3 linked regions of the Oryza sativa Japonica Group genome follow. The protein of the gene in region 1 binds, or shares a complex with, the protein of each later gene. Links are inferred from orthologs where the notes say so. Each region holds a gene or a part of one and is shown in the gene's direction. Other genes may lie near its edges.

Region 1 (3,483 bases):
GCGCCGCCATGCAGCCCATGCAGGCGTACGACGAGGCGTGCAAGGACCAGCACTGGGGCGACGTCGACGCCGCCGACGTGGGCTTCCCCGGCGCCGGAGCGGGGTTCACGGGCCTACTCCTCGAAGGCTCCTTGAACCAGATCCCGAGGCCGGCGGGGAGAGACGCGGAAGCCGACGGCGAGTTCCAGGAGACCGAGGAGGAGAAGAACTACTGGAACAGCATACTGAACCTGGTGAACTCCTCGTCGGCACCTATGTCGACGGCCGTGGTTGTGCCCGCCTCCCACGCGTACTCGCCGGCGCCGGACTTCTGAGCGGAGAAAACCTCGCCGGCATCAAACTTGATTCGATCTCATGACACAGTAAATAGTTTAGCAATGATTGTCGAATAAGATGGGACTAATATTAATGTTAGTAATTATTAATCACGTTCTTGGGTTAACCTGACAATGCTTTCGATTAAACTTGTGGGCAAGAACTTCAACTGTTCAAGGCTGTATCGACATTTGAAATTCGATGCTTGTTTTGTTCGGTGTTCTTATAGAATGTGTAAAACACTGAAACTACTATCAGAGAATGTAGCATCCTTACTTGCAAAGTTACTACTCCTGCTTGTTTTTTTTCAAAACTTACGATCATTTCAGTACTTTGTACCCGGTTCATTTCATTCCACTATCAGTTTTTACTACGCCCAAGCGGTTGGCAACTGGGCACTAGCACTACTGAAGGCCAGGGTTTCCCAAACCACCGGACCGGGGTTACCACACGGTAACCGTGTAAAATTTATCAAAATTTAAAATTATTTTTTAAATTTATTTGAATTTAAGGGGGTTACCGCGGTTTCCCTTTTACCGTACCCCACGGTAAGCGCGGTAATCGCACGGTTACAGACGGTTTTGCAAACCCTGCTGAAGGCAAACGGACGGCCTCATCTTTTCGCTTATACTTATGTTTATCAGTCAAAATTTAAATTTTTACCTTTAAATTTGGGGTTGATTTTATTTTTTTTATCGAAGGTTTATTTTTCAGTCTTTGCTTTTAGATCGTTAAAAATATATATATAAAAGATTTATTCACAAATTATTTTTTATTTACAAATATGCCATTTCGTTTATTCTCGAATAACCGAGACGATTGAGCTGTGAGCTTTTTACTTAGATTGGATCTGGGCCGGGCCGTTTTGTGCTGGGCCATATTGGGCTTTACCATAACTTTCTAGCCCACATCTAATAGCTGACGAGAAGGGGATTATTAAGGGTAAAGATAAGAGGAGGCAGCCCCGCACCATCGTCTTCCTCCTCTTATCCGCACAGGAGCCTCGGACTCGGACACGATGCTGGCGATGTCCGTCCACCCCGCCGCCACGCCGGCCCTCGCCTCGCGCGCCCGCATCTCCCGGCCCAAGCTTTCCGCCGCCTCCCCCTGCACCACCTCCTCCTCCTCCACTCCACGCCTCGTCCACCTCGGCAGCAGGAGGCTTCCCCTTCGCTCGCTCCGTGGCCTCGCCGCCGCCGCCGCTTCTGGCGCCGTCGAAGCGGAGGAGGGAGAAGAGGAGAAGCAAGTCGGAGGTGGGGATGCGAGCGCCGGCGAGGAAGCGCAGGAGGTAATGGGCTAGTAGCCGCTCCAAACCATGCCAGTGACTGAAATTACGGGGTTTTTTTTTTTACCGAGTCGAGCTCAATTTCAGAAGGAAGTGTTGTTTTTTGAAGAGGATGGAGTTCAATCACATTTGGTTTCGCATGAATTTGATTTTTCTTGAATCAATTTTGGTTACCGAACTGATTACTTGAGCTCATAGGTGAAATACAGTACGAGGTGTACATTTGGGTGAATTCACGAGTAGAGTAAATCTTTAGACACAATGCACAGCTGAAAGCTTAAGAGAAGTCACAAGTAGAGTAAATTAGAGAAGTTCTAGTCTAGTTGAGCATGTTTGGGCACTCGGGCTGTCCTTTTGGTGCAGTTTTGCACTTCTGCAGATAAAAGGTGTATGCTAGTGATGAAGAGGCGAAGAGCACATGAAAGCATGTCCACAAACTTGAGCGTGTGCCATTTTTGGTTGTATGTGTAAGCAAGAACTGAACTATTGAACAAACTGTAGCATTGACAGGTTTTGGTCATGAAAGGAGTTTTTTTTCATTCAGCTATTTACGTGATTATGTAACAACATTAACAGGCACAATAAGTTCCTTTTTCATCACTATATCAGATTTCAGAGATGTACACTAAAAGTGGATTAGTTTTGATTATATGGGAGTTACCCTCACAGTTGAAAAATGGGGCCTTTTGTAGAGAAATGAAGTTGTCAATGGAACACGTACAGTAGTTGTTGCAATTTATTTTACTACGACTTGAGCTGTGTTAAAACTGCACAATTTATTTTACTCAGATATGCAAAATCAGTATTAGCATTATGAGATTTGAAACGAATTGATTTTGTATCGCAGTACAAGGTTAAGGTGCCTGAAAGGCAGGATCCAATGCTTGTTCTGAAGTTCATATGGATGGAGAAGAACATTGGCATAGCCCTCGACCAGTTGGTTCCCGGCTATGGCAGCATTCCGTTAAGCCCATACTACTTCTGGCCACGGAAAGATGCCTGGGAGGAGCTAAGAGCAAAGCTGGAGGAGAAAGAGTGGATCTCTCAGAAACAGATGATCATCCTTCTGAATCAGGCCACTGATATCATCAACCTTTGGCAACAGGGTGGTGGCAGCTTGTCAACCTAAGAGGATATCTCAATTCTCCCATCCTTGAGAACCTTGTTTCTTTTTTTCTTGCTTTGGTTACACGGATCTTTGTTGTTACATGACCCTGTAGATCGATTCAAACTGTTTTCGGATACGGTTTTGTTTATGGAAATGAATTGTGATTGATCTCTGTAAGGTAAACGATTTGGGCTCCATCATCCGCAGGGAAGATTGCTAATACCTCTTGATACTACTATACCATGATCCAGTTAAATAAATGTAACTCGATATTTTGAACTTGAAGAAAAAGGGGAATTTCTTTTCTTTCGAAGAGATTTGGGGTCACGGGGGCATATACCCCTTCTACTGCGATTAACTAACACCGGTGATGCCCTGAAAAAGCCCGGCCCGCTCCGCGCACCACGAGCCTAGGCCGTCCACGCGTAGGCCTCTGCAAAACGGGCTGCGGCAACGCGTGAGCCTGTGCGAAACGAGCGTGAAAACGCTCGTGGACTCGTGGAGTCGTCGTGGTGCCCGCGCGTCGTGCTGCGACGCTCGTTCTCACGCCGCATGCAGCGCCGCGCCAGCTTGGTCACGGTCTCAAAAGCGTTCAAAAGGCATGGGAGCAACTGAGCAAGGCGTAGCAGCTTATCATCATCTCGGCCAAGGGGGGAGGAGGGGCAAGGCACATGGAGGCGTTGGGTTGGAGTTGGACCTCCTAGGTAGGGAAGCAGGAAGCTGGACTCGCTAGGAAAAAAAATAATGGAGAACCTGTACCGCGTGTACCAGAAGA
Region 2 (2,292 bases), on another chromosome or scaffold:
CTAGATCCTCTTTCTTGACTATATATTTTAGTATTTTAATAAATTCAATATTAAAAACCCTAACCTTTCCTATTAATGTGTATCTATCCGTAATATTTTAGAATATTGTGGAATTAGAGAAATTTGGCACACTTTCTCATTTGATTCGCGAGGAGCTGGATGAGAAGAAACTCTCATGTCCAGTTTTGCAGTAGAGATGGAACTAAGAGAGAACCATCGACTATAACCCCAAAAGAACCAGATTTCGTAAACAACATAGAGGAAGAATGAAGGGAAAATCCTACCGAGGCAATTGTATTTGTTTTGGTAGATATGCTCTTCAAGCACTTGAACCCACTTGGATTACGGCGAGGCAGATAGAAGCAGGACGAAGAGCAATGACACGATATGCACGTCGTGGTGGAAAAATCTGGGTACGTATATTTCCCGACAAACCGGTTACAATAAGACCGACCGAAACACGTATGGGTTCGGGAAAGGGATCCCCCGAATATTGGGTAGCCGTTGTTAAACCAGGTCGAATACTTTATGAAATGGGCGGAGTATCCGAAACTGTAGCTAGACGAGCTATTTCCATAGCTGCCAGCAAAATGCCCATACGAAGTCAATTTCTTCGGTTAGAAATATAACCCCCCAAAAAAAGTAGTATTGAAAATAAAAAACCAGGTTCTTCTTTCTGGAAAGACAATATTTCTTTCATCCTTTTGCATTGAAATAACAAATTGAAATCAAAATAATATGATTCAACCTCAGACCCTTTTAAATGTAGCAGATAACAGTGGAGCTCGAAAATTGATGTGTATTCGAGTCATAGGAGCTGCTAGTAATCAGCGATATGCTCGTATTGGTGATGTTATTGTTGCTGTAATCAAAGACGCAGTGCCCCAAATGCCTCTAGAAAGATCCGAAGTAATTCGAGCTGTAATTGTACGTACATGTAAAGAGTTCAAATGCGAAGACGGTATAATAATACGCTATGACGACAATGCAGCGGTTATCATTGATCAAAAAGGAAATCCAAAAGGAACTCGCGTTTTTGGCGCGATCGCCGAGGAATTGAGAGAATTGAATTTTACTAAAATAGTTTCATTAGCTCCTGAAGTATTATAAATACTAGTAGACAAGATATAGATCAAATAAAAAATTAGTAGATTGTGTTTCACGTATATGCTTTAGAATCCAAAACGAAAAGAAAAAAGAGAACATGTTGATTATAGAAAAATTAGGAGGAACCTAGAATTAGAGTCTTATGGGCAAGGACACTATTGCTGATTTACTAACCTCTATAAGAAACGCGGACATGAATAAAAAAGGAACTGTTCGGGTAGTATCTACAAATATTACCGAAAACATTGTTAAAATACTTCTACGAGAGGGTTTTATTGAAAGTGTTCGGAAACATCAGGAAAGTAACAGATATTTCTTGGTTTCAACTTTGCGACATCAAAAGAGAAAGACTAGAAAGGGAATATATAGAACTAGAACCTTTTTAAAGCGTATCAGCCGACCTGGCTTACGAATTTATGCCAACTATCAAGGAATTCCTAAGGTTTTGGGCGGAATGGGAATTGCTATTCTTTCTACTTCTCGAGGTATAATGACAGATCGAGAAGCTCGACTAAACAGAATTGGGGGAGAAGTCTTATGTTATATATGGTAATCGCCCGCCTATAGCGGTAATCGCCCCACCTATAGTTATAGTACCCAAATTCTATCTTGAACTTCCTATTTTTCAAACAAAAATACAACGTTTTTTTATTTGAAAATAAAAAAAGAAAAATAGGAGAAAAAAAAATATGACAGAAAAGAAAAATAGGAGAGAAAAAAAAAACCCGAGAGAAGCAAAAATTACTTTCGAGGGTTTAGTTATGGAAGCCCTACCCAACGGAATGTTCCGCGTTCGCCTAGAGAATGACACCATCATCCTGGGCTATATTTCAGGAAAGATCCGGTCTAGTTCTATACGAATACTGATGGGGGATAGGGTCAAAATTGAAGTAAGTCGTTATGATTCAAGCAAGGGGCGTATAATTTATAGACTTCCCCATAAGGATTCGAAGCGTACCGAAGACTCGAAGGATACCGAAGATTTGAAGGATACCAAAGATTCAAAGGGTTAGGTTTTTCTTTTTTTTTTCTAGGGTAAAAAATTCAAAGTTCTAAAATTCAAACAAAGAGACTTATTTTTTCCAAAAGAGTAAATTCATAGTTTAAGAAAGGAATACGGAAATATGAAAATAAGAGCTTCTGTTCGTAAAATTTGTACAAAATGTCGACTGATTCGTAGGCGTG
Region 3 (3,994 bases), on another chromosome or scaffold:
GCTGTCTTGCAGGCTGGTAGGGCACTAGGCGATCTAAGATCACTTAGGGAACTGTATGACTCAAAAACACTAGTAATTCTATTCCTCATTGGAACTGTTGCTGTTGCTCCAACGATTCTGAAAAGGAAGAGAATATACGAATGATGCCACTAAAAAGCATCTAAACAGTGTATTAGTAGAGCACTCCAGAAGTGTATTAGTTTTTTTTCCCTTTCTTTGTTGATATTGTATACCTATTCAATTTAGCTGTAGAGATGTAGTAGTAACATGATGAATGTTTTCCTCAATAATAGATGACGCTAAGCTGTTGCATCTGTTGCCCCAATGTTCTTATAAATCCCCACGTCCCAATTAACGATGCGGTGGAACTATCTGGTTGTTGTGGTTTTACAGTAAATCTTACTGCTCCCAATTGGATGGGCAACCTTATCCGTCGTTTTGAAATGATGTGTTATTTGCCACCAATTGTCCTATTATCTCCATTTATTTTATTTTCACTTGAGACATTTCTGCAAGATGATATTCAGAACGTTCCCCACAGATTATCCTAATACAAAATGCAATACGAATTAAACTTACATTTAGTAGTACCTAAACTGTTACATCTAGGATTATAAACGTGCTGAAATTCTTTATCCTCCCACAAAAACCCCAGAAATTTATATTCAGAGGAAGCTTATGCAGTTCTTTATCCTCCCACAAAAACCCCAGAAATTTATATTCAGAAGAAGCTTATGCAGCATAGCTGATCCTAAAGGCTACAACATATTCTTCTTTTTTTCCTAGAGAGAGGAGAATATTTTCTTTCGTGTTTACTCCCTCCATCTTAAAAAAAAGCTTAAAAAAAAGAAAGTCAGGAACATAACTTAAAAAAGCTTTAAAAAAAAAGAAAGTCAGGAACATAACTTAAGACTGTGTTCGGGAGGAACTCACCTCTCGCGCACGTAAAACGGAGCGAAGCATTTTCTTATGATTAATTAAGTATTTATTAATTGTTTTTGAAAAATGATTTTTTAAAAGCAACTTTTGTGTAGAAATCTTTAAAAAAACACATCGTTTAACCGTTTGAAAAGCGTGCATGCAGAACACAAGGGAGATGTGTTGGAAAAAGTGGGAAAAGAACACAGCCTAGTACTAACTTAATAGCCTAGTACTAACTTAGGGTGTGTTTAGTTCACGCTAAAATTGGAAGCTTGATTGAAATTAGAACGATGTGACAGAAAAGTTGGAAGTTTATGTGTGTAGGAAAGTTTTGATGTGATGTAAAAGTTGGAAGTTTGAAGAAAAAAATTGCAACTACGGCGTTATCTAGATATGGAGTACTCCTAGCTTGTTCTTTTTTCTTTTTCTTTTTTTAACAGAAGGAGTAAACTAGCGACTTGACCTGTTTGGGCCGTACCCTGCAAGGCCCAACCCAAGAAGTCGCCGATACAGTGGTAGCCTACAGGTGCGGCTACCTTATCGGCTTCCTTCCCGTTGGGTTCTATCCGAGACAGCACCGAGAGCTCCGGGAGAGAAGCGCACGCACCTCCGTCCCTCGTCGGGAGCGCAGAAATGGCGACCCTCTCGATGGTCTCCGTCCCCATCGCCACCTCCTCCCTGCCCCTCTCCGCCCGAGGCCGCAGCTCCTCCGTCTCCTTCCCCGTTCCCAAGGTGAGAAGCAAAGCCACCCCTCCCCCCGCCTCCCCCCTCCGCGCCCACTTCTTGTTCGGCCATTTGCTCGCTCGTCCTGTTCCTTGGTTCTGTGCGATTGATATGTGATTCACGCATGACGCATCGTACATCCGTATCACTTATTGCAACTCAACCCCTGGGATCGTTTTGTTATCTTTGCCATCTTGGAGGTTGGGGAGGCTAGTGGCCGTGCTTTGTGTACTACAGTACTAATTTTGAGTATGTGCAATTCAGTAGTTTTTTTTCCGTGATGTTGGAAGAACAGTGTTCCTGTGCAATTTTAGAATTATTGGCATCTGTGAGGAACTAGTATTTATATGCTTGTATGCTTATGAGTTTGAATCTCTGCCCCTAGCACATATCATGTTGGAAGAATGGATAGTGTTACGAAGTAGTATTTCTTTGGACAGCAGAGTGTATATGTAATTCATGTAGGGACTAGGAATAGCAAAGAAGGTTAATTATGCATATAGGATGTAAAAAGAATCGTAATTCCTTGTTAGTACTCCCTCAGTTTCATACTATAAGTAGTCAAAGTTCTTTAGGTTTGACCAAGTTTAAAGAAAAAATTTCCCCACCCCATTATCTTTACTTGCCCAGTCATTTGTAGGCCTGTGCTTTTAACTGTGTTGTGGTTTTGATTCTTTTTTTTTTATTATTGGGTACTGGACAGAAAGGGGGTATTGGTCATGGTGGCCTGCGGATCGAGTGCATTCGTATTGGTGGAGTGGAGATCCCGAACCACAAGAGGGTAGAGTACTCACTGCAGTACATCCATGGCATTGGGCGGTCACGCTCCCGTCAGATCCTCTTGGACCTCAATTTTGACAACAAGGTCACAAAGGACCTCTCCGAGGAGGAAGTCATCACTCTCCGTAAGGAGGTTACCAAGTACATGATTGAGGGAGACCTTGTAATGGCCCTATCCCTTGCTAATTCATCACTTAACTTTTTTTCTGTAATTTTGGTGATTAGTATGGTTACCCTACTTTGGTACTTCCTCCGTTTCACAATATAAGTCATTCTAGCATTTCCCACATTCATATTGATACTAATAAATCTAGATAGATATATATGTCTAGATTCATTAGCATCAATATGAATGTGGTAAATGTTAGAATGACTTACATTGTGAAACGGAGGGAGTAGCATGTTGAAGATTCCTTGAAATTTGGTACCCTTAAACTGATCGTTCTGAAAAAAAAAAGACTCTGTAGTTCTTTTCCCATTTCTGTCATCGTGGATTTATGTTGTGTTGCTAAAATAGAGTTCTGATGTGTTTGCCATGCTTTACAGAAACGGTTTAATCGTGTGGCGATTGAGAGGTTGAAGGAGATTAGGTGTTACAGGGGCATCCGCCACAAGCTAGGGCTGCCAGTTCGTGGACAGAGGACGAAGAACAATTGCAGGACGCTGAAGGGAAGGAGGGCTTCTGTTGCGAAGAAGAAGTCGCCTGCTTCCCAGGAGGAATAAGACACATTGCCATGTATTTACCTTTGGTTCTTTGCCTCTTGTTTATTTTTTGTGTTCTGCTTGACCACGCTCTTGTCTGGTATTATGAGATTTTATGTTGGTGTCGTCATAGATGAATCACGGGTTGTGATCTGTCACTGAAAAAGTTATATTTGTCACCTGTCTTACATGAACTGATGCTAAATTAAGGTTATACTATGTTTTTCAGTCCATCATCTTGCTGTCTCTCTTCTGTTGTCATATCTATGCTTGACCGACCTGTTCCTGATGAATTAACGTATCGCCAGTTTTCTGTCCATTTGTTCCACATGCCACCGTCAGATCTAATGCCTTGTTAACTTTACAAGCTGAAAGAGGAGTATCAGTGTAGCTGAATAATAATATTAGGAACCTGCCTTGCTGATAGCAGCAGACGGGGCTTTTAACTATTTGCCACTCTTACGAATGGTGCTTAACGATTTGCTACTAGACCCACATGTCATAGACACATGAGGGCCCACATGTTATTGGCAGGGTGTGGCAAATCGTTAATTGCCATGTCACAAGAGTGGCAAATAGTTAAATTTCCCGCAGCGGACACCAGTCGAGATTTTGGTTTTTTGTGAAGAGATGATTTAAACTTGAGTTACCAATTACCATGATTACCATGCGTGTGGTTGGAACATGGAACTTTCTGGAGAGAGCTGCTCGGCTCAATCTTGGCTTGTTCACTTTGTTGTCCAAATCAACCATACCAAATTTTGTTACATTTCGGTACTACTGGCTTTGTTTGGTTTGATATCTTACCAAATTTTGGTAGAGGTTTAAGAGGAAGCTTCTAAGACTCCCAAATTTTGGTTTAGTAGTA

The links. The genes of interacting proteins can lie anywhere in the genome.
Region 2: small ribosomal subunit protein cS23 (region 1) and rps8 share a complex: the UniProt entries of both Arabidopsis thaliana proteins name them as parts of the 30S ribosomal subunit. The link is inferred for Oryza sativa Japonica Group from reciprocal best matches to the Arabidopsis thaliana genes PSRP3/1 and rps8.
Region 3: small ribosomal subunit protein cS23 (region 1) and small ribosomal subunit protein uS13c share a complex: the UniProt entries of both Arabidopsis thaliana proteins name them as parts of the 30S ribosomal subunit. The link is inferred for Oryza sativa Japonica Group from reciprocal best matches to the Arabidopsis thaliana genes PSRP3/1 and EMB3137.

Annotation. Positions count from the first base shown.
Region 1 is NC_089038.1:23,520,297-23,523,779, forward strand, and holds small ribosomal subunit protein cS23, read left to right. Parts: upstream 1-1,281; 5' UTR 1,282-1,333; coding exon 1,334-1,603; intron 1,604-2,447; coding exon 2,448-2,729; 3' UTR 2,730-2,891; downstream 2,892-3,483. Other genes in the region: transcription factor MYB106, read left to right, coding at 1-314. UniProt on the Arabidopsis thaliana protein: Component of the chloroplast ribosome (chloro-ribosome), a dedicated translation machinery responsible for the synthesis of chloroplast genome-encoded proteins, including proteins of the transcription and translation machinery and components of the photosynthetic apparatus.
Region 2 is NC_001320.1:76,066-78,357, reverse strand, and holds rps8 (ribosomal protein S8), read left to right. Parts: upstream 1-1,249; coding exon 1,250-1,660; downstream 1,661-2,292. Other genes in the region: rpl16 (ribosomal protein L16), read left to right, coding at 228-629; rpl14 (ribosomal protein L14), read left to right, coding at 739-1,110; infA (translation initiation factor 1), read left to right, coding at 1,797-2,120; rpl36 (ribosomal protein L36), read left to right, coding at 2,232-2,292. UniProt on the Arabidopsis thaliana protein: One of the primary rRNA binding proteins, it binds directly to 16S rRNA central domain where it helps coordinate assembly of the platform of the 30S subunit.
Region 3 is NC_089037.1:29,173,590-29,177,583, forward strand, and holds small ribosomal subunit protein uS13c, read left to right. Parts: upstream 1-1,460; 5' UTR 1,461-1,554; coding exon 1,555-1,653; intron 1,654-2,347; coding exon 2,348-2,587; intron 2,588-2,970; coding exon 2,971-3,147; 3' UTR 3,148-3,362; downstream 3,363-3,994. Other genes in the region: uncharacterized membrane protein At4g09580, read left to right, coding at 13-144. UniProt on the Arabidopsis thaliana protein: Located at the top of the head of the 30S subunit, it contacts several helices of the 16S rRNA.